3 linked regions of the Elephas maximus indicus genome follow. The main gene of each other region encodes a partner of the protein of the gene in region 2 in a complex. Links are inferred from orthologs where the notes say so. Each region holds a gene or a part of one and is shown on either strand. Other genes may lie near its edges.

The links. The genes of interacting proteins can lie anywhere in the genome.
Region 1: the proteins of CNNM3 (region 2) and PTP4A2 are in contact, whole or in part, in a crystal structure (PDB 5K25), measured with the Homo sapiens proteins. The link is inferred for Elephas maximus indicus from reciprocal best matches to the Homo sapiens genes CNNM3 and PTP4A2. Residues at the interface, in NP_060093.3 of Homo sapiens: Leu390, His391, Phe392, Val393, Phe394, Asp396, Thr397, Glu405, Ala414, Gln417, Val419, Glu424, Gly425, Asp426, Pro427, Phe428, Tyr429; in NP_001356788.1 of Homo sapiens: Met1, Asn2, Arg3, Pro4, Asp69, Gly70, Cys101, Ala103, Leu105, Gly106, Arg107, Arg134, Arg135, Gly136, Ala137, Phe138, Asn139, Lys141, Gln142.
Region 3: the proteins of CNNM3 (region 2) and PTP4A3 are in contact, whole or in part, in a crystal structure (PDB 5TSR), measured with the Homo sapiens proteins. The link is inferred for Elephas maximus indicus from reciprocal best matches to the Homo sapiens genes CNNM3 and PTP4A3. Residues at the interface, in NP_060093.3 of Homo sapiens: Ser357, Asn358, Phe394, Asp396, Lys418, Val419, Asn421, Glu424, Gly425, Asp426, Pro427, Phe428, Tyr429; in NP_001425170.1 of Homo sapiens: Asn5, Pro7, Asp72, Gly73, Ala74, Val105, Ala106, Leu108, Gly109, Arg110, Arg137, Arg138, Gly139, Ala140, Ile141, Asn142, Lys144, Gln145.

The regions. Positions count from the first base shown.
Region 1 is NC_064821.1:72,868,131-72,876,092, forward strand, and holds the start of PTP4A2 (protein tyrosine phosphatase type IVA 2), read right to left. Parts: upstream 3,050-7,962; 5' UTR 2,452-3,049; coding exon 2,356-2,451; intron 198-2,355; coding exon 105-197; intron 1-104.
Region 2 is NC_064835.1:88,301,942-88,309,597, reverse strand, and holds the start of CNNM3 (metal transporter CNNM3), read left to right. Parts: upstream 1-4,620; 5' UTR 4,621-4,627; coding exon 4,628-5,861; intron 5,862-7,656. UniProt on the Homo sapiens protein: Probable metal transporter.
Region 3 is NC_064833.1:3,362,046-3,369,873, reverse strand, and holds the start of PTP4A3 (protein tyrosine phosphatase type IVA 3), read left to right. Parts: upstream 1-4,779; 5' UTR 4,780-4,862; intron 4,863-7,828. UniProt on the Homo sapiens protein: Protein tyrosine phosphatase which stimulates progression from G1 into S phase during mitosis. Enhances cell proliferation, cell motility and invasive activity, and promotes cancer metastasis.

The DNA of each region.
Region 1 (7,962 bases), on a different chromosome or scaffold from region 2:
ATCTCCTATTATAATAAGCTTAAAAGTCAAAATTAATAAATTCGCTTTTATGTTTGAAAGGTACAACTTGTTTGAGGTGAAAAATTAAAACATTACACACTCACTAGAACGTGGATTCCTTCTTTTTCAACTGGAGCTTTATCATACGTAGCATCACAAACTCGAACCAAAGTTGTCACTCCATACTTCTTAAGTTCCTTTATAAAGAAAAACAAAGGGACTTGCTTTTGGAATCTGCAACCAGAGCTTCAGAAATTACCATTATAAATTGAAACAAGATATCATTCTTATCCTATTAAATAGACAAAGATCAAAATAATAATTCTCATTTCAGCAAAAGACATGTATGCACTGTCCATGGGATTATGAAGAAGACTCACGTTTCTACAGGGCAAACTGAGAGTGTAACACAAAACTTTAAAAGTGCATATATACTTTGCTCTAGAAATTCCAATTCTGGGACTTTACACTAATCAAATAATTAAAGATATACATAAAAATTCAGGTGCCAGCATATTCACCACAGCTGTTTAGAATGGCAAAAAAGTGAAAACAACATTGTCCAAAATCAGGGGAATGATTAAGTAAATTATGGTACATCCATACAGCAGAATACTATAATGGCTATTTAAAAAATCCTAGAGAGGTTGGGGAGATGATTTTTTTTAACATACAGTGTGATCCTGTTTATACGCTTACTTATAAATACACACGTATATGCACAGAAAAACACCTGGAAGCCAGGTATAAAGAGTCAGGTGTTTTTAAATTGTCTTTTTGCTAATCTGTATCTTCTGATTTTTATGTAATAAGCACTTAATAATTTCTTAAAGAAACAATAAAAGTAGTTTTGAAATTGAAAGGAAAAAAATGGTATTATATTAAAAAGCTAGCTAACACAATTATAGCCAGAAGCCTTGCTCCCTTAAAACCCTTTCTACAGGGCCACCAACATCTTTTTATAGTTGCAGGACAGTGGCCTCTGCCACTTTTGGAGTCTATAGCCAAGGAATCCAGAAGCTGAAAATAGTATCCCATAATTCAGGCAGGCTTAAAGGTGACTGAACAACCTGAGGGCATACAGGCCTGGAGTCAACTTGCACACTGTGTACACAAAGTTAAGAAGCTTAAGGAATTACAGGTATAAATAAGCAGGAACAGTGATATCCCTGCAAGTGTCCACCATTTAGTTATCTAACAGTAAAGTTATTTTAATTGCTAAAGGACCTTTCACAGAAAAGCCTCCTTATACTAGACACTCAGGAAAGTTTAAGTATTATATTGAGTCAGGAATTTTAAAAACAGGTTTCAAAATGCCACTAAAAATTCCATTAAAATGAACTCCATAGTAACTATTCATTGAAAGGTTATGGTAGAATTTTTCATGGTAAGTATTCATGACCTTAAGCAAATCAAAACCTCTTTCATTTCATCTGTAAAATGAGAGGGATGGGCTTAGAAGCCCACCTCTAAGTTTACTCCATAGATAAAGCAAAAGAAATCAAATAAAAAATGCTACCTAACACCTTTTCATTCCTCAAGTTTTCTCAGCCGTATATATGATGATTACTGTTGCTACATAGTTTTGGGATGGCTCTTTACCAAGGCAATTAGAATATCTGGGGTAGGACACGGGCTTCAACGTCTGAGACCAGTTAAGTATCCCTGTTCTTTCACTTACTGTGCACCTTTAGGCAAATTACTAAATTGTTCTGAAGTTCAGTTTCGTCATCTATAAGAGGGAGAGAATAATGGTACCTATATTTCATAGGGTTATTGTGAGAATAAATGATACAATGCATAAAATTAATTACAATACATACTACCTGATACATACTAAGTATTCAATAAATGTTATTTTTATTATTTGAAAGTATGACAAAAGAACTGCTGACAAATGTAGAAAGGATACAAGAAAAAATATGGTACTAATCTCTAAAACCACAAAACCCGTTGCTGTCGAGTCGATTCTGACTCATAAATAATCTCTAAAATTCTGCAAAATTCTAAAAATGCTCTTCTTTTAAAAATCCGCTGCTACAAATTCAACCCAGTTCAACCAAGGATTGTTAATATAACCATCCACATGCCAATCACCAAAGTAAATGGCTTTGTAATATGAGATTTCTTTATAAAACCTGTTGTGGTTGAGTCGATTCCAACTCAGTGTGACCCTACAGGACAGATCAGAACTGCCCCATGTGGTTCCTGAGGAGCGACTGGTAGATTCGAACTGCAGCCAAGCTCCTAACCACTGTGCCACCAGGGCTCCAGATTTCTTTATAATGGCATTAATTTTTAATGAGATTTTAACCAATAAATCAATTTAAAAGGTAGACCATGCTACAATCTTACCTCTGTGAACTTGTTGAGGGTAGCATTGGTAGGGTTGTGAGTTATCAGAAAACGCATGTTCTCATAGGAGATCTCCACAGGGGCTGGACGGTTCATTATGGCAAATAAAAAGTGAGCGTGCGTGTGTGTGAGTGTGATGGGGGAAATGAAAAAAAAAAATCAATAAATCTTGAAATGTTTCACAGCAGAAAACATCAAAAAGACCACTAGAATGCCTATTATCGATCAGTGTTTTCTCTATTCAACTTGTTTATTCCTTAAGAAGCTTCTCTCTTCCAGATAAGCAGAAGTATTTAGAATCCACTCGAATCCAAATTCAACTTGGGCCACAATGACTGTAGATGGATACCTTCGGACTCCAAAAAAATCCAACTACATACAAAACTTAAGCAGCCTTTACTACATTTAGGCACTAGTGAGACAAGTTAAAAGTGTAGGTCGCTTTCCACCTTTGTTTACTTGAAGCTTAATTTTACTGGAGTCATTAAAAGAAATATGCTTGCAATTAACAAAAAAAAAAAAAAAAAAAGGCCAACTATTTCTGAGGCCAGTCTCGGTGTCCGGAGTCTTCAAGGCAAGGTTAATTATGGCACATAGAACCCCCAAGCTCACTTGTCAGCGAAAATGCTGTGCTGAGCCTGGCAGAAGTCTGCCCTCACACTCAGAATCGCCATAAATGTGCAGCGTATATTCCAACGAAAAACCTGGGGGGAGGGGAGGGAAGCATAAGTAAAATGAACTGGAGGTTGACAGCATAGTAAACACAATGCCAGAAGTAAAGAACGCATTTGTTCTAAGTGTAGACGTCTGAAACATGACCAAGTCTAAATTCTGCCATCTAAGAACTATGTAAAGAGTTTTCAAAAATCAGAGATTCGAAAATCAAGTGTGTCTGGTTTTTTTTTTTTTTTCTTCAAAACTGGACTCAACAAAGTTCCTGGGATGGTAAGATATTTCTAATTCAAGTCATTTTTAAATGATTAAGGCCAGTAACTTAAAGAAGCCTTCCTTCCATGGACTCTATTCATAAAGTGCCCAACGATCTCCTTGTTTTTCTGCTTTAATGGTAAGAACTTTCTCATAACACTCTTTACTTACATATGGTGTATCTATGAATAGGTAAAGGCTATTTACCAAAATTCTCCTCCAAGGATTGAAAATTCTTTCTATTCAAAGTATATACGCTGGCCCCCAATTATGATGTGAGTTCACAACGTACTTCCAAAATATTATCTACGTTTCCTTACAATTCTGAGTAGATGTTACTACCCATGAGAAATGAGGAAGAGGGTCAGAGAAGTGAAATGACTTGTCTATGGTCACACAATGGATTAGTTGAACCTAAATTCAAACACACACACAAAAAAAAAAACACAAGTTTCTGTTAATCCAGTGTTCTTTCCAATGTACCATAATGCCTACTGACTCAACTATTGTATAAATCCCACCTTTTTGTTTTTTGTTCAGTTAAGGTTTTTACTATTTCTCACATCACTGCCTTAGGAATACAAAAGCATCGAAAGGTCACTGACTCACACAGCTTTCCTCTTCCCCAAATATTAATTCCTACAAAAAACGAGGCAAGAAAAGACAAGTGCCAAAATTTTTAATATTATTTTAGGCCTGCTGCTTTAAAACATAGTAATCTTTATAGCTGTCTCAGTCAGAGTGTCAACATAATCATAAATTCCTCTGAAAACCTGGACAAGGTCTAGTTCTTTCACTTGCCTCTTCACCGAGCCACCAATACATGCTTATTTAAGTCTCTAAAAAAGAGGAAGGTGGTCAGATAGAAAAAGGCGTGAAAAAGAATGACTACAGAACCATTTTCAGGAAGAAACTGAGATAGAGATCGATAAGAAAGAACCTAGGCCTCCAAACTTTCAAGCTTATTCTTATACCTGCAATTCTTCTTTTTATGGTATTCTTATGGTATTTTATTTCATAAGTCACATACTTGTGATTATATTACTATGGATACAAATATAAAACTAAAACATTCCTAAAATATGAAAGATACACAAGCAATTCAAAATGGCATTCCGAGAACTTCCATTAATCTCCGCAGAATGTGTTATCCAGTACTATAAAAACACTATACTCAAACTAAGAAAACAAAAGTATACACACCACCATTCTTAACTGATAACTGTAACCCCAAACAAAGCCACCTAGATTATGCAAGAAAAATATTTCATAGTGTACTCCTTGCACAGTCAAGGAATTTTATTAAGAGCTAGGAGAAAATTAGAGCTCCATTACTCTGACCCTCTTTTTCTTAAAAAAATGAAGATATTCGGGGTTCAGAGAGGTTAAAACGACTTACTTAAGATCACACTGCTAATTAAGTAGCAGATCAAGAACTCAGGTCTCCTGACTTCCTATTCATTTCTCCTTCAATTTAGACTAACGGAGGTACCAGGATACCCAATCTTTTTCATGCAAGTGTAACTTTTCTTCAAATATTTCTTTGCATGTTCATCTGCAACTCTGTGACCTTATAATGGGGGAAGATTATAAAAGTAACTACTCAAAGAACAAGGGTCTGCATGCAGTGCAGAGCAAAACACAAGGAAATTCTAACCTGGTTGAATCCCTTTGGTTCAATGGTGTTATCAGAGCTAATACATGTCAGCTGAGGAAATGCACTGACAGAGCCGCATTGTAGTAATCGCCAGGCTTAAAAGGTTATGGCTCTAGCATTAAGTTTTCTACCTAGTCTCCAATGTTTGTCTACTCAGCAAACAGAGCCAAGGTTTATCCCATTTTATTCCTCCGAACTCACTTTGGAAGACTACTTCCAGGGATGGTAATTCACTATCACATTTTCAATTCTTAACACCATACTGAGATCCCCAGAAATTTGTGCCAAAGGAAACAGTATGTTCTATCAATGCTAACAGATACACAATAAAAGCAAGCTTCTGTTCCCTTCCCCGCCCCCCCACCAAGGGTTCAACTATGCATCAACAGTTAAATTCTATGCACCTGTCAATTCAGATAAACTAATGTTAACTCCCTTGGCACTCATAAGAACGCAAAGCAAACAGACTGTAAAAAGTCATAAACAACCAACCACAGCTGGAAGGCACTCAAAAGTTGCAGAGCCCTACGTTTTAGTGTAAGCTCAGCACCTGTACACCTAGAGGAAATTCTTCTGAAGTTTTCTGTCTGGTATTAACTCTGCTCTACCTACTTAAGTAAAAATAAAATTTTGTTTTAATATACTAGGTGATAGAAGAGGCTAGTTTACTTAACATCTAACAGCAGTCAAATTCAAATATGCATCCAAATGTACTCTCCACCTTTTTTATCTTTTACAGAATCTAACTTTAAAAATGTTGAATTGGGGATATTTCCATTTCCGAGCCAATGATTTTTAACTAAAGAATATAACTTCGCTGATTAGAAAGGATGGTCTGTGACAGACAAATCCTTTTAAATTAAAAGGAAGGGACAGGATAGAGGGAAGGAAGAAAGGGAGAGCTGGAAGAAAAGCAACTGAGCAGCCTATGAAACTGAGATAGTGCACTGCCAGTAAAACTAAGTCAATGACACAACAGAGACTACTTAAAACTTTGCAGAGGGCTGTGTTAGAAACAAGGAGCCCTGGTGGTGCAATGGTTAAGCACTTGGCTGCTAACTGAAAGGTCAGTGGTTCTAACCCACCAGCAAGCTCTGCAGGAAAGAAGACCTGGTGATCTGCTCCCATAAAGATTACAGGCTAGGAAACCCTATGGCCAGTTCTACCCTGTCCTTTATGGTCACTGAGCCGGCATCGACTAGGCAGCACCTAACAGCATGTTAGAAACAGTTGCAAGTCCAGTGTTAATATTCTACTGCTAACATCTACCTACATAAAAGTCAAAATGCATGAAACAATAGCCATCATTTATTTTATTATAGAATATTCTTAAAGTGGAAAATACACAGAGGTTAAAAATAATAAAACAGATCTATATGAACTGATATGGAAACATGACTAAAGGCACCAATAAGCAAAAACAGCAAGGCGCAGAACAATTCGAATAGTTTTATAGAAATATTTGTGAGTACTGTATATATTTTTCAAAAACATGGACTATCTGGAAGATTACAAAGACTAATAGCAGTGGTGGGGTGCTGAGCTGGAGGGCTAGAGGTCAGGAGCATGATTTAGCTTACCTTTCGAATCTTTTTCATTTTTTTCCAAGTACACATATTATCTTACTTTTAATTTTTATGAAAAAGGATGATAAAGAACCCTGCAATGATTTACAGTAAGTCCTCGGGTTACAAACATCTGACTTACACTTAATGCATGCCCTTTAATGTTATATAAATTTGCCCTCACTTTGAAAGGACTGAACCAAACCTGCTCACAACAAATTTTTCATCATGATCACCTTCACTTGCTGCAAGTGGAGCTTTTAGATCACTGAAAAGGCTTCTAGCCTTTCTTGCACTAAAAGGAGGCTAAATAAGAACCATATGCACCTGTTCTGACTTATCTACAAATGCAACTTGAAGACACACTTAGGAACAGATCTCGTTTGTAACCAGGAGACTTGCCTGTGTAACTTAACTACTTTCTCAACAGTGCTATAATCATGGGATTAGAAAGAGCCTCAAGAGGGCTAGTACCTCTGCCCTAGGCAGGCCCATATCTAAACCATTCCAGAAAGATAGTTGTTTTCTTTGTTATGCCTACGAAATAACTGAGTAAAATTTACATCCTGCATTGGCTACTATAATTCTAAGTTCAAATATAAAAACAGAGAATTCAAGGGTGTGAGGGAACTTTCTACATAACGTAGCTCCATTTAATGGAACCCAATCTTACTGGGCATCCTTTTAAACATCCTATCAATCTGCCCCATTCAGTCGTCCACTGAGAAATCCCCTCTTTATATTTTCAAATTAAAGTCACATTATAGTATAAACACACAGTGAAAGAATTCTAAATCTAAGGAAGTAAAATCTAAAAGTAAAGTCTAAAGAGCAAGTAAGCATACATTTACTGTGTTGCTTTCTTACCAGAAATTCTACAGGAAGTCTTGCAAATTTGAGTCAGCTTGGTTTCTACAATCAGGCAACATAAAAGCATATTGTATATAAAACTAAAACTTTGCAACCATTTTTTCCTAAAACAAATTCACTTCAGTGAAGAAACAGGCGCTTCCCCTTAAAATAAGTATGAATTATCTATCAACTGTAAAGAACTTATCTTCATGAAGAACTAGACATGTTCTACGCTATCTGGCTAGTTAAGAATTTACTAATTCAACAAATATTTACTGGATATATACTACATGTCATGCATTCTTATAGGTGCAGCAAGAGCAGTAAACAAAAAAAACAATTCTTATCTCATTTCGGTGGGAACAAATAAATAAAATATGCCACTGCTATGGAGAAAAACGCAAAGTAGGAGAATCAACAGTGCCAGAAAGGAGGGAGATTCCAATTTTAAACAGGTGATCAGGAAAGGCCTCACTGGAAAGAAAAAAAAAAAGGTGACATTTTATGCAAGACCTAGGGGTGTGAGCCAAGTAGATATCTGAGGGAAGAACACTCTAGACAGAAGGATTAACTGTAGCAAAGGTTATGAGGTGGGGACATGCTTAG
Region 2 (7,656 bases):
CTGAGCGCGCTCAGCACAGGTGAGCAATGCAAAACTGGGCGTTCGCACAGGTGAGCAAACACATGGCCTGAACTCTGTGTGTGTGTGAAGCAAAAGGAGTAGTACACACACGTCTACAGCTACCTCTTTGCACACACAGTTCCTACCAACGGATGGTCCTTCCCTCCCCCTCCTGCCCGTGTAGAATCAGTTCTTACAGAGGGTCATAATTATTTCCAAATATTACTAGTCTGGTGACTTCCTCCTCCCAGTGGTTTTTCACTTTTTATTCCACCTCCAGTTCCTGGGCTGAGCCGTACCCTGGAACTGGCCCACCCCCCCCATGTCTTCCCAGGGAAGGGGGACCTTTGCAAATGGCATCCACGTGGGTAGGCAGGTCACAGCCACCGTAGCAAATAACTCATATTTATTTTGCGTAAGATTTTAATTTGTATATTTTTGTGATTTTTTTTTTTGGCAGTTATGAGTTTGACTCTCGGGGAGTTTTGTTGTTGAGTCTTGTGTCTTTTGTCACAAAACAATGATAATATTTGGTAAACAATATATGGAATTTATTTTTGATTGGTAATAAAAAACAAAATATGTATAAATCTTGGCAAGTCTACAGTTTGCCTGTTTGAGCTCTGTCTGTGTTCAGTATCTGTAATAGAGACAGAAGTGGCCGTGGTTGAGAGGTGGCTTCTTAACATAGGTACATGTAGCAGGACAAGGAACAAGTATCCTGGGACCATCTCACAGTAAAACGTTGGCAAGCAAAAATGGAATTTATAAAAAAATAGGTGTAATCCACAGAATGAGGGCTTACCCCTCTCTGACCTAAACTGAAGGGCACACTTGTTCTGTGTCCAGGCTGTGGCTTTACCCCAGCACCTGGTATGCACGCTGGGTGCTTTTGCTGTGAGACACGGTCATCTCTCAGAAAGTGATCCCCAGCTGGGCAGGGCTCCATGTTTCGATGTGCTTGGATTCTACACTATAAAGCCATCCTGAAAGTATTATGCTACTAAGCAAACAACGTGGAGGGTGTATATATATATATATATATATATATGGAGCCCTGGTGGTGTAGTGGTAAAGAGCTTGGCTACTAACCAAAAGGTTGGCAGTTCAAATCGCTGCTCCTCGGAAACCCAGCGGAGCAGCTGTACTCTTGTCCTATAGGTTCCCTCTGAGTTGGAATCGACAGCAGCAGATTTGGTTTTGTTCGGGTAAACCCCTACTGTATACCAGGTGCCACCAACTCCTTGGTGAGTTTACCACATAGTGAGGAAGACAGTCACACAAGGGCCTTTCAGCTTGCTGTTTCTTCCACCTGGAACACTTTCCCCCAGGTCTTTGTGAGGCTCATCTCCTTACTTCCCTTAAACCTTTGTTCAGATATCACCTCCTTTTAGAGGGCCTCCCAGATTACCCTGCCTAAACCAGCATCGCCCCAATCTGTCTCCGTAGCTTGCCTTGCTTTTTTCCATAGCACTTATTACTAGATATTAAAGGACAGATTTGTGTATTTTCTGCTGCCCGCACACTAGAATCTGAGTTCCACAAGGGCAGGGACTTTATATTCCCACCTTTAGAACAGTACCTGATACAGTGCAGTCACTTAGGAATGAATCAATCAATAGGTCTTAAGGTAAGTACTAGGGATGGGGAGCACATAGCACCCATAACTTCGACCCAACCTAGTCAAGATGAAGAAAGACCATCTGAAGGAAGTGGATTTGAGCTAAGACTTGAGAAGAGCAAGAGTTAGCCAGTGAAGTCGCACATAATAGGTATGGGTTTAAAACTCAAGAATAAATATTTAGGTAAAACTTGGAAATGTCCTGATCCAAACGGCCAGTAAGAAAAATGGCCCAGGAAGGGCCAATGAGGGCACTGGAGGTCAAGTCGCAAATGTCTCCACTGTGACTAACCAGGCGTGGGGCGAATGGCACAGAGCCAAGGGAGAGGCTGGTGAAGTACTGAGGCCTCTATTATAAACAGAAAACCACCCTGCGAACAGCATTGCTTGCACTGTACTAGATTCTTTGTCTTTGCATAGTGACAGCGTAAATGGCTGTTTGTGTTTTCCAAGTTTGATCCCGTTGTTCTGGTCAAAGGTTTTCCCCCAAAACAGGCTGTTTTTCAAGGGACCCTGAGGCCAAGGAAACAGTAACTTGTCAAAGGTCAGAGCCCCCTCTCCAAATTCAGAGAGTTTTCTCTGTCTGCCCTCTAGAACTGTTCCTTCATTAATGACTTTTCAATCATGTGACTCATTTGAGGTTCCACTTTTGTGTCATTTTATCTTGACTTGGAGATTGGAAAGTATGAGCTGAAGGGGTTGAATCCATTATAATGGACTCCCCCCCCCTTAAAAGGAACGGTGACAATCCAGTGGGAAACGTCAGCAGTGTCATCATTACTTCTGCCGGCAGGGGCTTCTCCTGTCACCTGCAGGAGTGAAGCAAACTGCTCAGCGCGGCTTATCGCCCTCTGGAGAAGACTAGCTGAAGAATGCGGAGATGCGGCTGGCCTGGTCCTGGCTCTGAGCCCACGATGCAGAAGAGACATTACTACCAGCTTTTAAAAAGCTTTTCACAAAATATTTTTTTCCTGTGGTCAGTCAAAGTTACACCACAGGCCTATTTTTGCACGTTATCGTTGGTTGCCATGGAGTTGGTCCTTACTCATGGCAACTCCGCGCAGCGGAGTAGGACTGCGCCAGAGGGTTTTCAAGGCCGTGGCCTCTCAGAAGGAGACTGCCAGACCTGTCTTCTGAGGCATCTCTGGGTAGGTTCAAACCACTAACCTTTTGGCTCGTTGTTGTTAGGTGCCATCAAGTCGATCCTGACTCATAGCGACCCTGTGTACCACAGACTGAAACACTGCCTGGTCCTGCGCCATCCTCATCCTCATAATTGCCGCTATATCCGAGCCCACTGTTGCCCTCACGATCATTGTTATGCTTCGGCCTGTTGTTGCAGCCACTGTGTCAATCCGTCTCATTGAGGGCCTTCCTCTTTTTTGCTGATCCTCAACTTTACCAAGCGTGATGTCCTTTACCAGGGAGACAAAGTGTGACCATCCTTGCTTCTAAGGAGCCTTCTGGCCGTACTTCTTCCAAGACAGATCTGTTCGTTCTTCTGGCAGTCCATGGTATATTCAATATTCTTCACCAACGCCACAATTCAAAGGCTTCAATTCTCCAGTCTCTGGCTAGTAGTCAAGCACTTTACCGTTTGTACCACCCGAGGACTTTTTTGTTTTGGCACATTACCTTCTACAAAAACACCTTTTACATGATTGTGGCCACAGTGCTTTTAAAATATCCTGTTATTTTTATGATACTGCAAATGCGTTTCTATAGGATGCTTTTGAAAGATCATTTTAAACAACATGTATGTCCTGGTAAATGACATGTAATCTTCTCAAAGGCTACTTACACTAGGAAACACAAAAGTGCATAAAAGTATCAAGAAAAACACAAAAGTCCTTTATTGTGGACCCTTGGAGAGAAGCCTTGTTGGCAGTTCTATTTCCTCCCAGTCGTGTACAGACCATTTATAACGAGTAAGGAACGCTCTACACTGTCAGTGGACCATACTGTCACGAAGTGACCACAGTGAGGGCCCTCTTGAATAGATCTTGGTCGCGAGGAATCATTTCCCAAGGACGAGTTGCTAGAAGTGGAGTTAGCAGACCCCACATCCACGCCGAGTCTTTGTGAGCTTCGCTTTTCTCCTGTAAAATGTTAGCAGTATGAAGCAGCTGTGAGGATCCAGTGACTTGTGTCTGCAAACTAACACAAGCTCCCTGAAGGCAGGGACTAGGTCTGACCTCCCCAGACCTACAGCAGAGTCGCGGCAGCGGACAAACACGCCCAGAACCTGAACGTCCCCTTGCCCAGTCACTACCGGGGGCGCTGTGGTGAAGAGCTCGGCTGCTAACCCCAAGTCGGTAGTTGGAATCCACCAGCCGCTCCTTGGGAACCCCGTGGGGCGGTCCCACTCTGCCCTACAGGATCCCCGAGTCGCTCAGTGGGTTGAGTAACTCCGGGTTGGTGGCTGCTTCCCAGGAGACCTGCACGTCCCCGGTGTTTAAGTCTCTGCCCGCAGCTTCATGTGGGGTCCGACCCAGAGGCCGCCCGCGCCGCCCCGCGAGGCCCGAGCCGGGGCTGCCCAGAGCGCGAGCCTCCGGGAGACGGCCACGGCGACGGCCGGCGGGGACGCAGCGCCCCCACCAGGCGGCCCCGAGGACGCGGACGTTCGACGCCCCGCGCGGCCCTGCCCGCTGCCCCCGCCTCGCGCGGCCCTGCCCGCTCCCCACGTCCCGCGCGGCCCTGCCCGCTGTCCCCGCCTCGCGCGGCCCTGCCCGCTGCCCACGTTCCGAGCCCCGCGCGGCCCTGCCCGCTGCCCCCGCCTCGCGCGGCCCTGCCCGCTGCCCACGTCCCGCGCGGCCCTGCCCGCAACCCCGCCGCCCAGGCCCGGCGCCCGCACCTTGTTTACTCGCCGGCGCAGCCTAGTCCGACCGGGGCCCGCCCCCGCTCGCCGCCCATTGGTGGAGGCGGCGCGGCGGCAGGCGGCGATTGGCCCGGGCGGCGGCGGCGCGGGGCGAGCGGGATAGGCTGCGCGAGAGCGGGCGGCGGGCGATGGCGGCGGCGGCGGCGGCGGCGGGTGGGCTCGGCTGGCTCTTGGCCGCGCTCTGCCTGGGCAGCGCCGCCGGGGAGGCCACGCCGGGCCCGCAGGTGCTGCGCTTCTGCCTGGAGGAGGACGCGGCCGAGGGCGCGGGGCGGACGCGAGCGGGGGCGGCGGGGGCCGCGCCCGAGGCCACCTTCCGCCTGCGCCTCTTCGGCCCGGGCTTCGCCAACGGCTCCTGGTCCTGGGTGGCCCCCGAGGCGGCCGGCTGCGGCCGGCCGGGCGCGGCGTCCGAGCGCGGCGTCCGGGCGGGCGAGTGGCGCGCGCTGCTGCGCCTGCGCGCCGAGTCCGTGCGCCCGCACTCGTCGCTGCTGGCCGTGCGCGTGGAGCCGGGCGGCGCGGCGGCCGAGGAGGCGGTGCCGCCCTGGGCGCTGGGGCTGGGGGCGGCCGCGCTGCTGGCGCTGGCGGCGCTGGCGCGGGGCCTGCAGCTGAGCGCGCTGGCGCTGGCGCCGGCCGAGGTGCAGGTGCTGCGCGAGAGCGGCTCGGAGGCGGAGCGCGCGGCGGCGCGGCGGCTGGAGCCCGCGCGGCGCTGGGCCGGCTGCGTCCTGGGCGCGCTGCTGCTGCTGGCCAGCCTGGCGCAGGCGGCGCTGGCGGTGCTGCTGTACCGCGCGGCCGGCCAGCGCGCGGTGCCCGCCGTGCTGGGGAGCGCGGGGCTCGTGTTCCTGGTGGGCGAGGTGGTGCCGGCCGCCGTGAGCGGGCGCTGGGCGCTGGCGCTGGCGCCGCGCGCGCTGGGCCTCAGCCGCCTGGCGGTGCTGCTCACGCTGCCGGTGGCGCTGCCGGTGGGCCAGCTGCTGGAGCTGGCGGCGCGGCCCGGGCGGCTGCGCGAGCGCGTCCTGGAGCTGGCGCGCGGCGGCGGCGACCCCTACAGCGACCTCAGCAAGGGCGTGCTGCGCTGCCGGACGGTGGAGGACGTGCTCACGCCGCTCGAGGACTGCTTCATGCTGGACGCCAGCGCCGTGCTGGACTTCGGAGTCCTGGCCAGCATCATGCAGAGCGGCCACACGCGCATCCCGGTGTACGAGGAGGAGCGCTCCAACATCGTGGACATGCTCTACCTCAAGGACTTGGCCTTCGTGGACCCCGAAGACTGCACGCCGCTCAGCACCATCACCCGGTTCTACAACCACCCACTCCACTTCGTGTTCAACGACACCAAGCTGGACGCCGTCCTGGAGGAGTTCAAGCGAGGTAACTGCTGGAGAATCGCGAGGGGACGCGAGTGCCTTCCCCTGGAAGAGGTGCAGGAGCTTTATGGAACCCTCCAGGAAAGGGTCCCACTCCTGCGGAGGGCAGTGAGACCTCCGAGGGCCCTTTTAAAGAAGGTGATGAACGACCTTTGGGGCGGGGGTATGTCCCCTTGGTGTAAGTCTCCAGCTCCTTCCCCGTCCCAGGCCTTTTCTCTGAGCTTTGGACTTTGTGGCAGGTCCAAACCCTTGAATAGAAACTTAAAGAACATAGTTTCCAGAGACCTAGATGCCGTTATCTGCACTCAGGTAATATCAAGTTAGCGTGACCTGTGGTGTTTCCAGGACATTGTTAGGTCGTTGATTGGCTCCTGCCTCCCAGATTCCAGAAAAGGGAATAACCTATAAATACTTTCTTACAAGTGTGAAAGAAGTTTTTCTTTTGATTTCACCAAAAGCAACTAAACGGGTGATGATTTAATTTTCTCTCCCCATCTACACCCCCCCCCCCCCGTTTTCTAACCTCCCCTTTTGTAATTCTGGGAGCCCTGGTTGCCCAGTGGTTAAAAACTCAGCTGTTAACCAAAAGGTTGGCAGTTCAAATCCACCAGGCACCCCTTGGAAGCCCTATGGGACAGTTCTACTCTGTCCAATAGGGTTGCTATGAGTCAGAATCAACTCATGGCAACGGTTTTTTCTGACTTGGAGTAAAGTCTCTCAAGTTCTCCTTTAATTCCACATCCTCGTCTCTTTCTTTTCACTCTGATTTATCTGAGCACCTCTTAAGGTTGAAGGTCAAAGCTGTAAGCCCCTCTGGTGTGAGTGTGTGGGCTCCTCTGTTGTCCTCCCAGTGTTGGGCTTGGGGTGCTCCCCAGAGCTTGGCACTCTCCTTGGCCACCAGACGTGCTTCTCACGCCTCAGCTCCCGCAGGATGGTGGTGGGGGCACCCCAAGACTCTAGTTGGGCTTGGCCCTGAAGGCTACTTAATGTCAGGCGGAGGAGCCCGCTGAGCCCTGTGATGTTTCTGGCAGCTGTGAAGTCTTGCCCCAGGCTGGCAGGGGAGCTGTTCTCTGAGCACCTTGACGGCCAGGTCAGGAAAGCAAGTCTTTGCAGTGATGACGTTGCCGCTGCATTGAACGCCGCTGTACGCGGCACTAATGGAGGCTCCGTCGTCGCTTTTAATCCTTGGAAGAGCTGGGTGTCGAGTAGTTGGGCAGTTACTGTTATTACTGCCGTGGAGACAGGTGGGCAGCTCTGATTGGTCTGCTGAAGAGAACCCCTCAGATGCTCCTGGCTGTTTCCCCAGGAAGTGGCCATGCAGCACTTCTGTGGGGCAGGGGAGCCCGGAGTAAGGGCCTCTTGGTGGTGAGTAACCTGTCTGGGCCACCATGGTCCCCCAGGCACCGGTGGTTCCTGTGGCGTGGTGGCCACCAGAGCTGGGCCTGGAGTCAGAGTTGGGTGGGCTCCGTCCTGCCCCTGCTGCCTCCCAGCTTGAGACCCTGGGAAGGCTGCTCATGGTCCAGGGCCTCATCTGTTAACGGTACCCAAACCAAAACCAAACCCACTGCTGTCGAGTCGATTCTGACTCATAGCGACCCGGGAGGACAGAGTAGAACTGCCCCATAGGATTTCCAAGGCTGTGGTCCTAACGGAAACATACTATCACATCTTTCTCCCACAGAGCGGCTGGTGGGTTCGAACTGCCAGCCTTTTGGTTAGCGGCTGAGCACTCAACCAGTGTGACACCAGGGCTCTTTTGCTAATGATAAGAGCTGGGAAAAGAATGCAACTGGAAGAAA
Region 3 (7,828 bases), on a different chromosome or scaffold from region 2:
TGGCCGTGAGACTCCAGCTCTTACCTGGGACCTGAGCACCCTGACCACGTAGTCTATGCTGACCCCTCCTGTTGCCCCCCTTCCCCCCAATCCTGGTCACACTCTGAACCCTGATCCTGGTCACAGAGTCCTGACCCTGACCCCATGCTGAGCCGAGCCTGACCCTGATTTCACACAGAGCCCTGACCCTGATTTCACACTGAGCCCTGACCCTGGTCCCACACAGCCCTGACCCTGGTACCGCGCTGAGCCCTGACCCTGGTCCCGCACTGAGCCCTGATCCTGGTCCCACACTGAGCTCTGAGCAACTGGGTTAGCAAGGTCTCTGGTACAGGCAGAAGTGTCTGGTTGCTCCCAGGATGGTCCTCTGAAGGGTGGGAGGCTGGGGTATATTCATAGACTCCTTTCCTCCACTTGTGAAGCCTGTCCTGGGGATGGTAACTCCTCTGCCCTTTGGGGTTCTTATGCAGAAAGCAGAGAGAGGTGGGAGAATGTGGGGAGAAGGGGGGAGGCACTGTCCACACAAGCAGGGTCTGAGCTCACTTGAATGGGCCACTGCAGCTGCAGCCGAAATTGGAGGTCTGAGGGACGTTAAGCAGCCACCAGGGGCGTCCAGCCCCATGGTTACTGTCTGCATTCTATACGCAAACTCTTGTACCCAGATTTTTTTTTTCTTCTCTGAATGTACTAGTTTCCTAGCTAAGAACCACACACAAGGAGGATTAAAACAACAGAAATTTATCCTCTCGCAGTTCTGAGGCCAGAAGTCCACAGTCGGGGTGCCAGCTGGATTGGCTCCTCCTGGAGGTTCTGAGGGAGGATCTGTTCCAGGCCTCACTCCCAGCTTCTGGTGGCTGTCGGTGATCCTTGGCGTTACTTGGCTTGTAGCCACATCGCTCCAATCTCTGCTCTGTCTTCACATGGCCTTCTCTCTCTGTCTCTCATTGTCTCTCTTCTTATAAAGACCCCAGTCACTGGATTATGGCCTCCCTGATCTAATATGGGAGCCCTGGTGGCATAGTGCTTAATAACTTGGCTGCTAACCAAAAGGTCGGCAGTTGGAATCCACCAGCCACTCCTTGGAAACCCTACGGGGCAGTTCTACTCTGTCCTCTAGGGTCACTATGAGCTGGAATCAACTCGACGGCAACTGGTTTTTTTTTTTTTTTTATTAACTTTTATTGAGCTTCAAGTGAACATTTACAAATCAAGTCAGACTGTCACATACAAGTTTATATACACCTTACTCCGTACTCCCACTTGCTCTCCCCCTAATGAGTCAGCCCTTTCAGTCTCTCCTTTCGTGACAATTTTGCCAGCTTCCAACTCTCTCTATCCTCCCATCCCCACTCCAGACAGGAGATGCCAACACAGTCTCAAGTGTCCACCTGATACAAATAGCTCACTCTTCATCAGCATCTCTCTCCTACCCACTGTCCAATCCCTTTCATGTCTGATAAGTTGTCTTCGGGAATGGTTCCTGTCCTGGGCCAACAGAAGGTTTGGGGACCACGACCGCCGGGATTCCTCTAGTATGAGGCAACTGGTTTTTTAAAATCTAGTATGACCTCATCTCAACCTGATTACATCTGCAAAGACCCTATTTTCAAATAAGGTCACATTCCCAGATTCTGGGTGGACATGGATTTCAGGGGACACTAGTCAACCCAGTGGGGGCCTGGTGACGCAGTGGTTAGGAGCTCGGCTGCAAACAAAAAGGTCGGCCGTTTGAATTCACCAGCTGCTCCTTGAAAACCCTGTGGGGCAGTTCTACCCTATTCTATAGGGTCGCTATGAGCTGGAATTGGCAGTAGGTTTGGGTTTTTTTTGGTAGTCAACCCAGTACATTGACTTTACATTAACCGATAAGCTATTCTTTTCTTTTGCCTGTTCTTGACCTTCAGGACTGGAGGAGAATTCTGGAAGGAGAGTCCTAAGGAGGGTTTCCTGAGTGTTGGCTCTGTGCCAGCAGGACTAACCAGGCCCTTGACAGGCACCATCTGACCGGGCCCTTGACAGGCACTGTCTCCTTCTATGTTCTCAACAGCCCTAGGAGGTAGGCACCTGACTCTGACTCCATTTACATGTGAAGGAGCTGAGGCAACGAGGAGTTAAAGCAGGTGGCCCACTGACAGGGGTCCACCCCTGTGCTGGGGGCTGGCCCCTCCTCTGGGGGCCCTGCCGGGTCTGGGGTCAGGGTCTGGGGCCAGCCTTCTCAGCTGGCCACCACATTCTGGGAATCCACTTAGCACTGACCTTGTCTTTGTCCTCCTTGGCACTAATCTGCTAATCCTGCGGTCCAGCTCTAATCCTTTACCTGGGCCTCCTCCAGCGCCCCCAGCTTGGGCCTCCTCTCCGCCACGCTTTCAGTGCTGGGGGGGAGGTCCGCTGACTGGGGGGTAGTTGGGGAAGGGACCCTTTCTGTGGAATCTTCCTCAGTCCCAGGGAGGATTCTGGAGTCTGGAATCAGCAGACAAGGGCTGGATTCCACTCCACCTCTTCGTCGATCAGCTATCACCCCATTCCCCCTCCCATTTCTCCTCTGTAGCGCGAGGAGATCACGGCCAAGCCGGCCCTCCCCAAGGTGAAATCACCGTTCTTCTCCACCCTCCTTGCCCCACCTGTTCCATTCGCAGAGCTGCGGGCTCAGGCTCACCAGACCTGGGTTCGAATCCTGCCCTGCAGAATGGGGCTAGCTGTCCTTTCTCAGCTGGGGGCGGGGTGGGCTCCCAAGGGCAGTGGGGGGACGCCCCAGCATGTGGTCAGCACACAGTCAGTGTCTGAGGAGTGGATTGATCCAGAAGCAGCTATTGACTCCTCCTTCGCTCCCCACACCTGCGGGACACCTGGAACACAGAGCTGGAAGATAGCCCAGCCTTGTGCAGCCCATGGGGAAGGACAGAACACTGCCCCACGGCACAGGGCATTGGGATACAGGTCGCCCTGAGATTTTGTGGGACAGCATGATATGTATGTCTGGGTTGGGGGGGGGATGCTTAGGTGCTGCAGCCGAGTTTAAGCTAAACATTAAAAAAAATAATTAGAGTGGACCCAAAGTCCCACAATAAAGTGGGCTGCCTTAGAGGTGCTGAGCTCACCAACAGTGGGGGCATTTAAGTGGAGGATTTTTCTTTCCTAGGACTCCACATGTGCCTGGACTAACAGCACAGGCTTCCTATCCACCTCTGCTTGGACATGCACAGACAGGCCTGGCTGGCTTTGTGGCTCAGTGTGGGAGCCCTGGAGCCAGCTCTACTCCCGACTTGCTGTGTGGCCTTTGGAAGTTGCCTAGCGCCTCTGTGCCTCCTCTGACACAGCCCAGCTCTGCAAAGCCCTGCCCGCTGCCGCCAGCTGCCTTGTTGGGAGGAAGCATGGAGCTCCTGGGCACCACCCACCTGCAGCCACCCATCTGTGTGCCAGAAGCTGGTCCTGGCACTATGGGCACAGCTGGGATAAGCCAGGTGAGGTCCCTGTCAGTCAAAGGTCAGTGGTGTGTGTAACTGCCCAGCAGATGGGCTGAGAGGGGGGCTGCCAGCAGCGGCTGAGCTCTCAGGGGAGGCCGTGATTGACAGCAATGTGATGGAGGGATGGCACTGGGGGGACAGTCTGGGCAAGAGTTTCCAGGCAAAGGAAACAGCCCATGCAAAGGCCCTCAGGTGGGAACGATCCCAAGAATTTGGAGGAATGTGAAGGTGAGCGAGGCTGCGGCAGCAAGCTGGGGAGGGGGTGGTGGTGGAGGGAGGGGTGTGGAGCACCCGCCAGGCCAGGCAGCCTTGGGGACCAGCGAGGGCTCTGGCCTCACCTGGCGAGGTGGCCCTGCAGGACTTTATGCAGAAGAGGGTGCATTCCACTCTTGCCTTCGAGGGGTCAGTGCAGCAGCTGAGGGTGGATGGGTGGAGGGGCATGCTCCCTAGGGGAGTGGAGACAGGGCCTGGGCAGGCTGCCAGCCTGAGGGGAGGGGCAGGCCATTTGGTTGGGCAGGATGAGACTCCCCAGGGACCCAACAGGCCCACCTCTCTGCCCCTGTCCTGGGCCCCTGCACGTGCCACCAGCCTTTCTTCTCTAACCCGAGCCATGAGCCTCCCCGGGAAGGCTGGTCCAGAAGGTACCCCCCGGCACAGCAGGCAGCTGGTGGCTGAAACCCCTCCTCCTGGGCACCCCGTGTCACAGAGGAGTGGAGGCTGCTGAGGCTCGGAGGTGGACCCCGCTACACCGGCCTCCCTGCCCACCAGGATCTGTGTCTCAGTTACAGGGACAGCTGTCATTTCGGAATCCCATTGGGTGCGGGTCTGGTGGGTCCGCTCTGGACACACGGGTGCTCAGGCAGCCCCGCCCTGTATACCCGCTCAACGGAGGGGACTGGGGCTTGAACCAATCGGCCAGGAGAGTGCTACCCGGGCCCATCCCCGCGACAAGCCCTCCCGGAGGGGCGGGGGCCCAGCTCCCCTGGGGGAGATGGGGAAACTGAGGACCCCAGAAGTCTCGTGGGCGCCTGGCCTCCGGACTCCGCCCTCAACCCTTTCGCGCGCCCGCCTTCCTCATCCTCACTCGGGGTTCCCGCCGGCCCCGGGCCCCACGCCTCGACCGGCCTGCCAGGGCCACGGCCACGGCCACGGCCACGGTCAGACCCTGCGTCAGCCCCCAGCAGCCGGTCCCCGTCTGCTCCCACCGGACGCGCGCACGACCGCAAAGGTGGAGAGCGTTCCCATTGGGCCGCGCCCCCCACGTGACCTGGCGGTGCGGTGCGCCCAGAGCCGGGGCCGCGCCTTTGCGCGCTCGCGCGGCTCAGTCGTGGGCGCACGGGGCCGTGTGCGCGCGTCCCGAGCCCTCGCCCGCTGCGCCGGCGCCGCCGCCCGGACCAGGTCAGTGTCCCCGCGCCGCTCGGGGCGGGGCCGGCGCTTTGTGCGGCGCGCGGGGCCGTCGGCGCGCGGGCCGGCTCTGGGCACGGCCTCGGGGCCGCGCAGGCGGGAGGGCCGCCGCCTCCGTCAGTCCTTCGGTCCGCCGGTCCCTCCCTCCTGGCCGGCTCACCCTGGCGCTGGAGGCCCTGCGCCCGGAGCACGGCTGTCGGCTGTCACGTGCAGGGCTGAGCCGGGAAGGCGGCCCAGGGGCGCCCTGGCCCGCGGGGAGACCCCGCTCTGTACCCTGAGTTTATCTTCTCTAACGCCCGTGTGAGTCGGAATCGACTCGACGGCAGTGGGTTTTTTTTGGTTTCAACGCCCGTCCAGGGTCTGGCTAGTTCTGCCCCCGGCTCAGTTCCATCTCTGCACTTTGTGGGGAGACCTGGCACCAGCACGCCTGCCAGTCAGAACCCGCAAGGCTTCCCTGCCGGGCAGGAAGTGAATGTCTGAGGCAGCCCAGTTCCAGGTCCCACGGACCGAGGTTCCAGACCTGGCTCAGACCTGCACACGTGCTGGGCATTCAGGCAAAGCCTTGCCTCTTCATGCAGTACCCTGGCTGCAGAACCAGGTCCAAGGCTTTGTCCCAGGGGCCCCAGGGATTAGACAGGTGACTCCCAACACACAACTGGCAGGGTTGGGGTTAGGGTGGCATCCCCCTGGCCTGTCCTCTCCTGAGCCCAACATGTGACCCTGCAGGCCCGCAGCCTGGCTGTTGAGTGAGCCTGCTTGGCAGCTCTGTGATGTGGGGTCTAAGGGCTGGTACAGGGTCCAGCCATTGTGGTGTGCTGGGTGTCCTGAGCCCTGGCACACAGATGCACACCACCCCTCCTTCCCTGGCCTGTGGACTCTGGGTCAGCTCTGCACATGATGGCAGTGCTGGGTGTTGGTGTGGTGTGCAGACTCCGGGTACGCCCTGCTTCTAGGCTGGAGACGGCCGCCAAGACAGCCCTCAGTGAGCTGTTAGGGGGCCAGCTGGCAGTTGGGGGTCAGAGGCACACAGAGCACCTGTGATCTGGCCCAAACTGAGACCACCTGGCAGCTCTGTGTAGATGCTATGCTTTACTCCACTAGCAGCAGGTTTGATGGGAGGCCTCAGGACAGGTGTTCCGGCCATGTGGGAATTCCCAGGCTGCTCCCTCAAATAGACCCTTGGGGAGCTGGCTACCCCCGATGCTTGCCAAGCATTCACTCTGGTGCTGGACTTGAAGGTGGGCGATGGGGCCCACCCCTCCGGAGCTCACCTGCTAGTGGGGTGGGGCAGGCAGGGGTAGGACAGGCCATGGACAGTGTGCCGGGAGAAAGTGCAGGTGGGGGGGGGCAGGCAGGGGTGGGACAGGCTGTGGACAGTGTGCTGGGAGACGGTGCAGGCAGGGATGAGCTGTGCCCTTCAGCCTGGTTCCTCACTTGCTGACCCCTCCTCACACACGCCCTCCTCCAGGATACCTCCCCTGGCTGTGGGGACGTGGCTGGGGGCCTCAGCTGGTCCCTATGTCTCCTCAGTGCCAGCTCAGGGCCTGGCTATGGGTAGCTGCCCATGCAAGTCAGCAGCAGGGGCTTGTGGGTGGAGGAGAGCTGGATTGGTGGCCTCTCAGCAAGAGGGCGATGGAACCTGGAGTCACCAAGCCTGGGTGGGCTTGAAAGTGAGGTCAGGGCACTGGGCAGGGGCTTGCTGGTAAATGTTGAATGGAACCCTGGCTTGTGGTTTTGCCGCTCTCCGTGGTGTGAGTACTCCCACGCTGCCTTTGCTGCCCCTGGAGCTGGGACGAGATGCGCATGTGGACCCCGTCACCTCCCCCCCCCCCCACTGGGATGGCAGCGGAGTGGTGGGCAGTGTGTCGGTGAGTGTACTGACTTCCTTGGGGCCTTCTGTGCAGTTGGGGACTCCGTCTCACTAGGCAGCAGGCCCTGGCAAAAGGGCCTGTTAAGTGGAAAGGCCACTTAAGTGGGGTCCATGTGGCATTTTGCCAGAGGAGCAAAGAGGGAGCTGCCGGGTCTGGAGGCGGCAGAGACCTGCGGTTACTCCCCTGTCTTGGTCACTTAGTGCTGCTGTGACAGGAATACCACAAGTGGATGGCTTCAACAAAGAGAAATTTATTCTCTTTGGAGGCTAGAAGTCTGAATTCAGGGCGTCAGCTCCAGGAGGTTTTCTCCCTCTGTCAGCTCTGGGGGAAGGTCCTTGTCACCAATCTTCCCCCAGTCTAGGAGCTACTCAGCACAGGGACCCCAGGTCCAAAGGATGCACTCCCCTCCTGCTTCTTCGTTCTTGGTGGTGTGAGGTCCCCTCTTTCTACTCGCCTTTCTCTTTTATATCTCAAAAGAGGTTGACTCAAGATCAAACCTAACCTTGTAGATTGAGTCCTGCCTCGTTAACATGACTGCCTCTAATTCTGCCTCATTAACATCTCGGAGGTAGGATTTAAAACACAAAGGAAAATCACATCAGATCACAAAGTGGTGTACTATCACACAATACTGAGAATCATGGCTTAGCCAATTTGACACACATTTTGGGGGGGATACAATTCAATCCATAACAGCCCCCAAGACCTGGGCCTTGCCTTGGTTACCCGAAGGCCTGAAGCCAAACCACAGGCCTCCACCAGGTGATGCACCGTGGTTTCTCACCTCTGCCACATGCTGTGCGCTGGGCCTGGCCGGGCCACCTCCTACAGGAAGCCTTCCCAGCTGCCGGGTGCATGTTGCTTCCTGCCAGGCCCTGCACCGGTGGGCCCTCCCCACCTCCACGCCACTGCCCTCACTGTCACCTGCCTGCTCTGGTCCCCAGCACCCCTCTGTCCACAGATGCAGCAGGGCGAGGCCAGGCTGGAGCACAGGCTTGCTGTCATGAGGGCCCGGCTCTGCGTCTTTCCGGTCACTTCACGTCTCGCCTGCTCAGTGTTTGCCCCTGTAAACTGGCAGCTGTGGTATGT